Drosophila melanogaster: one gene and its partner. The protein of the gene in region 2 interacts with the protein of the main gene of each other region in a pairwise test. Each region holds a gene or a part of one and is shown on either strand. Other genes may lie near its edges.

Region 1 (3,758 bases), on a different chromosome or scaffold from region 2:
CTGAGTGGAAAATCAGAATCAGTTGTCGGCGCGAAGTCGAATCGAACGGAAAGTCGAAAGTAAAGCCGCGGCTAAAGTCGTTCTTTTGCCGACTTTTCCTGGCTGCCATTACGCAAGTCACGGCCATATTTTCATGTGAAAATCAATAGTGGCCATCTCAGCGGGCACTTTGCCCAAGAAAAATTTAAAAAAAAACACGAAAATCCCGAACGCAGCAATTAATAAGTTCGCAATTCGGTCAATAAACACAAAACAAAGAGCGTTGCCAAAAATATAACGAGATAAAATGAAATGAGCTTAAGCACAATCGAATAATAAATTGAAACGTACAACAGATAAACAAACGCATATATGCACGTCTATAAGAATGCCCATCTTTCAATATATACATATGAATATATATATCTATATATACATAAACATATATATTTGCATAGTATATGTATGAATGTTTGCATATCGCACACTCGGCAAATAAGGCAAATGAACTGACAATGACTTGCAGACATGGCGAAAAGCGCACAATACCACCAGGTTGAACAAACCAATTGGCCTATGAAGCTATCAAAGAAAAAAGAAAAAAAGCTGAAAAAACTTCACATGGGTTATTAACAACCCACCGCTAACCACCGATACCGATACTCCATTGCCAATTCCAATTCCAATTCCAATTTTGGCTCCCATCTGGGGGCTATTGATAAGCCACTTCTGACAGGGCGTTAAACAAATCGAGCCGAGCCCTCCTAATAGAGGAAAGTTACCAGACTAGAATACGGAATAGCAAACTACGAATTTGAAGTGGTGTGTCAAGGAGGCAGCCTTATCGTACTTATCACTTGTCGATCGATTCGATCGAAACATCGCCAAAATGGATCATTAATTTGGTGGTCTACAAGTATTATGCAGAAATTATGTATTTGACAATGATAAATGAGCATATAGGTGGTTTCAAGTTGAGAAATAACCAATTCCATAATCAATTTAAAGAGTGGCACAGTATAATGCATTTTTGACCAATAAGGTCCGCCTTTTGGCCAAATTATTTATACAAATTTACCTAAAATGATGTATCGTACCTCGCTGAGTTTGAAAAGTAGTTTTTCATTTAGTATTTCAATATAAAAATTCTAAATTGTTGCCATTTTCGCAAATTTTGGGTTACAAAAATGGTAAAATTTTGAATTTGGGTATAAAAATAATCCATTTTTTGACCAAAACTTGAAAATTAGTGCTCCAAATATGGAATGTCATATATCGTTGAGTTCGTAATTAAATTTCCAATCAAACTGTATTTAAAAGTTAGAATTCCATTTTTTTGCAATTTTTTGCAAATTTTGATGATGGTACCCCTTACAAAAAATGCAAAAATTTACGAAAAAATTTTTTTTCCAAAATTCGTCAAAAAGTGATAGAATTAGTTAGCATTGGTAATTAGCTGCTCAAAACAGGTATTCTTTTATCTATATGACCATTTTTACCAAAGTTATGACGAAAATTCGGTTTGTAAATATCAAATTTTTGGTAAAAGTCGTTTTTCCGAATTTCAATAAATGGAAAAACTGTTAGTCCTTTAAATCACATGCCCATTCTTAGCTAATCAGAAGAGGTTAAAGTTAGAGACGATGCCATATTGTTAATCGTCTAATTTGTACATATGTATATATCTATTTTTTTTACTGGGTTCGAAGAGCTTTGATCTTGAAAACCCCCTTTGGCGTTCCACCCATTCGGCGTGGCTATATGCAGTTTGTTTATCCAAAATATTGTTTATAATTAGCAAACATTGTGGGCTTTCCGAGCTTTGTGCCGCAGCCGTGTTTGCTAGTGACTAGAAAGCTCCCTACCAACTTTACCCGATATATAAACTTTGGATCCGCTGGGATCGGGAGAGGTGTGAAACTATATAAAGAGTGAGAGAGGAGAGAAAGCAGAGGAAAATACTGAGGCGTAGACAAAGAAAAAAGCGAAAGACAGACGCGTAGGAGATGCGCGAATTGCGTCGAACGGAATTCAAACTAAATTAAGTGCAGTCGATCGCGGGCGGTATATATATTCCACCGATCCGAACCGACAGTTGCCCAAAGACATTGCCCCAGAGCAGAATATCGAGCAGAGCGGCGACACCTGTCACCGGGGGAATTACATAAAAAACAAAACAAAAATAAAAAAAACACAAACACTCAAGATTTTCACAACACACAAATCAGTAAACATCGGAGAAAAATCGAAACAAATCAACACGAAACACTCATTTGGATTAGCCGTTAGCCAATATAGACCGTTCAGGATCCCAGGATCCAGGATCTCAATTGCCGAGATGTCGTACCGCGGAATGCTGAGCACCTCGGACGGTTCGCCCGTCGAGCTGCGCGTCCAGGATGTGGACTCCTTTGACGGATCGATGATGTCCCATGCGGCCACCAATGCGGCCGGTCCGCTGGGCAGCAAGGCCAGCGGCAAGTCCCTCAACGCCTGCACCTCCATGTCCATGCCCCAAAAGCCGAGTTCCCTAAGGGCGACATGTAAGTCGCCAGTTCCCCAGCCGCTGCCCATGTAAGTGAATGCATCGCGACGACACAAGCCACACGAGCCACACGAACCACCCAACCGCCACCCACTGACCTCGTGCACTGCGCGAAAACACAGCAGTCCAGTTGGTAGCAAAACGTATGGCCTTAAATCAATGAAGATGGGCTAACTTATTTCTTGCAAATCATCGCTTACCTATTACAATATTATACCAAGTTGAATGTTTCTTTGTACATCTCTTTCTTTCGATGTCTTTGTCTTTGTCTTTCTCTCTCTCTCTATTTTCTCTGCTGCAAAAAGAAAGCAAATGACATTCACTCTCCCACGCACACAGCAAAGCACTCTCACTCAAAACAAAAAAAAAACCTGTAGCAATAACTCACACGGTTCGCTACACTCGAAGAAATGCCTTGTGTGGATGCAGATATGATCTTTGGTTACAAGCTGTATTTAAGAACTTCTTAACTTGTTAACAATGCTTGTTTTATTAAGCAAATATTGCCCACAAGCCGCATCAGTTGCCTGAAAATTGTTTAATTCATTTATTATTGTATGTACCACTGCATTGTTTCAGTGTAGCGCTAATCCTCTGTCGCTGCGCTGCCAATCAGTCGCAACATCTCTTGAGTCGCACTAACCCATATAGAAATATAGGAAAGTTATAATACCCTGTAAAGTGGTATAGCACTTGGGTTTCTTAAGATACATACTTCAAAATATACAAAAATAAAATGATAATAAATCAGTTTAGATTGCGTCAATCAAGTTTCTGCGAATATATCCCGGTGCCTTGTGGAATAATAAGCTTTTTAGTTAAGATAATTAGCCCACTTAAATATGATTCTTTGCGGCGGGTTTATTCCTTTGATGATAGGAGATTATTGTTGTTTTTGTGACCTTGAAGTGTATTCCAACTTCGGATCGTTTTAATCAGTCTCCTCATCTAGTTTGTTGTGTTTTGAGTGCGTGTTTTGATTTTGCCAGTATTTTTGCTATCTCCGCTAATCCCTCTCTCCTCCATTTCCGTCTCTTTCGTGCTGTTTTACACTGCAAAAAAAATATAAAAGAACAATTAAAATAAATAATATTAGCTATTATAATCTATATTTGAATTATTACCAAACATCCAAGTGATCTATTCAAATGATCTTGAATATCAGTTAGTTCGGATTAATAATTTCACAGTGAATCTAAGCTTATATGTAAATATTTTTCAGTGCCCTTCTTTT
Region 2 (3,433 bases):
TTGCTGTTTTGTTTGTTTGTTTGTCGGATTGTTGCTGTCTTTGTCGCTCAGTTGTTGTTCCTTTGGTGGGCGACGATGGAAATGTCAGAGGGTCGCGGTATTGGTATTACGGCCTCCCAGGGCATTCTCTTTTCGCTTGAGTTTTGATTTTTTTTTTTGCTTTGCCTGATAATTCTATTATTGCTCTCGCTCTCTTGGGGGGGAGTGCAAAATAATGGATGGCAATTCGCGGACGGAAATTTGCGAATTTAGCGCGTCGCTTCAATTTTGTGCAAATTGAATGCACAAACACTGAGAAGTGGAGAGAAATTACTAACTTCGGCGTTCTCCCTGTCTCCCACACACACACATACACGTGCACGCGCGAAATTTCGTGACAGCTGCAGCTGGAGAAGAAGAAGAGCATGAATGATCGCTCAAGGACTCGGTATCGTCCTGCCGTTTCCTCTCTCTCTTTCTCTCTCTGGTTCACTTCCTTTTGTTGTTCCGTTTACCTAACACAACGGCTTATTTGTATTGTCAGGACCAACTCACACACACGCACATACACGTACACTAGCGCACTGCAGCTGAGCCCAAAGGAAAAATCGATGATGAATCTGCGAATTAAAAGTCTATAGCCGCACATCGATTAATCTGCAGCTGAAGCGAGTCGCTTTAATTTAGTTTTTCAGCCTTGTTTTTGCTGCTTACGAGGAAAAAGACAGCAAGGCTTCGTTGAAAAACCCGTTCGGCGCGCAGGAAAGTCGGAAAAACGAAAATCGTATAGCGGCTTGGTAACAAAACGCGCCCACTCGCGGAAAACAACAAGTTTAAATATTAATTAAATCGATTTATATTTACTAAATCATAATATACATCGCTATTACTTCATGTAGGCGAGCAGAAGCACACTCCACGTCGAATTTATTGTTCGTTTGCTTAAAAAATCAGTTTCAATTGCCGCAACTCCGTTGGCATTAAAGTTATAACGATGTTTCTTTAATAATATTTTTTAATGGTAACCGAAAAAACAGCGCGCGCTGCTGCGCTCTCCCGAAAAATTACAGAGAGAATGCGTTGCGAGCTGCTTATATAGATTTTTAAAATATCAGAGAAACCAAATGATGGTAATGTAAAAATACCAAAGCCGGGAAATCGCGTTTTAACAGTCTGTTAACAGTCTGGCGTATCACACTGTTAATTCTCTTCAGCGGTTAAATGTATCTATTGGATGCGCCAAATATATCTTATCCATATTAACAGCTATTTTGATTAAGAAAACTTAGACTCGTTTAGTTTTATTTAAAATTTTTTAATAGTTTTGAATTATTATACCTTTTGTCGATTTTTAAATATAAGTAAACGTAAGGAATGATTTTAACCGCTTGTGGTTAAGACTGCATATTTTGGCGGGCACAATTCAAAAGCAATCATGAAAATACCACAATAAAAATACTAGTCTCAAGCGGTAATGTCTTATACGTAGTCTTATACCTTAAAATTAAATAGCAGTTCTGTAAAATATTTAACCGTTTAGTATTTCTAAAATAATGTGCTAAACCTGATTTATGCAATTATTAAGATCCCAAAACATTTTCAAAAAATTGTGTAAATTTCTTAATACTTTATATTCTTAAAATTTTCGATGATTTAAAACGATAAAATAATTGTTTTAAAATTACACACTTGGACGAAATTCAAAATTAAAATTATATCAAAATAATGTCATATTTCACAAAATCGTAAAAAATAATAAAAGGTATGCTTATAAAAATACGCAGAATATTTATAATGCATATAATATGCAGAAATACAAAAGTAAGAAGAATTTCGCAAAAATATGAAATATGTTTGAGGTTACGTTCGGCAATGAAATTATGTAACATTAAAAACACGTGATCAATGGAAGTAATTTCCCAAAAACCCATGAATGCGATTTGGTTAAAAATAGCTCAGATGACGTCACATTTATCGTGTGGTTTGTATGAGTATGTGACTGATAAAGAAAGGCAAATGTTTACAGTCCGAAAGTCGCGATTAGCTTGGCGCCAAAGTTGCCTATAAAAGCTCATCGACCGAATGCCGCAGAAGCCAGTCAAATTCAAGTGTTCAAGTGAAGCAGTCGAAACATAAGCAACAGATTCCGCAGCAGTTATATCCAGTTCAGAGAAACAGTAGTTAATCAGTAATTAAAGTGTTGAGTGAATTTCTTATCGGGTCAGTTGTAAACTAGTGCAAAAATGTCGCAATCCGATAACGTGGCACGTGAGCAAACTGCGGCAAATGCAGGGCCGGATGCATGTCAAGGATGCCGCGGCCAATTGCCAAATGCCACGCCCGTGGAAGTCGAGGACATGGCCTTGCCGTCGATGGAGCGTCTCATTCGAAAGGCCAACATGGCCCAGAAAATGCTGAACGATGTGATGAAACAGATCCAGAAGCAGCAGCAGCAGGAATCTCAACTCTCCATCAAGGAGACCAAGTCCAAGCACCGCAGCTCCGATGGAGGTAAACGACGACACAGAGGACGCAAACATCATAGTCATAGTCATCACACTAGCTCATCTTCCAGTTCCAGTTCCGACCACAGTGACTGCGAGCTGATCCTGGCGGAGAAGGAGGGGCACATGCCGCGGAGAAGACACACGCGAGATGACCGCAAGCGGGATCGTTCCCGGTCTCGCGGTCGCTCCCGTGGTCACTCGCGTGGTCGTTCTCATGGGCGTTCTCGTTCCAGGTCCTACACCGATTCCCGACGATCTCGAGCACTACCCCTGGCTCTGCCCGTTCGGATTTCAGTGTGAGTATCTGGCTTCATTCAGTATTATTCAATATTCATTTTATATATTAAGTGCGCATAAAAAAACCAAAAAAAAAAAAATAATAAAATATATAAAATATGAAAAAAATATTCAAATGAATTCTTTTTAATGGAGGGTGGGCTTATCTTTATTTTGGGTGCAAATAATACATACTGTTCAGGTATTCAAGATAATAAGTTACATTCGTTGATGAAATGCTGATTTAATTTAGCATTCATATTTACCAAAGTTGTGAAATATTTGAACCATTTTTCTGAGAAAATAAAGTTCAAAGTTTTGGAACTGTAAAAAGAAGTTTTTATCTTACCTCCATCAGCCGATTAACAAATAAACAATCGTTTGTTATTTTTAAATATTTCTTATATTTTTTAAATGCCGTTTGTTTTTACATTAATAGTTTTTATTTTGTAGTTGTTGTGCTAATTATATGTTAAACATAAAAATTGTTTCTCCCTCTCGTATAATTACTCGGTTTGTTCTCGTTTTGATTGTGATCTATTAAGTTAATTTCATCTTTTGATTTGTAGACTTTGCTGTGAGTTTGCTCCTTGCAGTCGCAACTTTTCTGTTGTTCTTAATAAATTCGTAAAATTCGATGTTAAATGTAATAAACCATTTCATTGCTTCGT

The links.
Region 1: the proteins of CG8620 (region 2) and AMPdeam interact in a two-hybrid assay, tested with the Drosophila melanogaster proteins (one large-scale study listed by BioGRID).

The regions. Positions count from the first base shown.
Region 1 is NC_004354.4:13,838,330-13,842,087, reverse strand, and holds the start of AMPdeam (AMP deaminase), read left to right. Parts: upstream 1-2,076; 5' UTR 2,077-2,317; coding exon 2,318-2,522; exon of another isoform or gene 2,523-2,526; intron 2,527-3,758.
Region 2 is NT_037436.4:7,156,025-7,159,457, forward strand, and holds CG8620 (uncharacterized protein), read left to right. Parts: upstream 1-2,075; 5' UTR 2,076-2,222; coding exon 2,223-2,786; 3' UTR 2,787-2,850; downstream 2,851-3,433.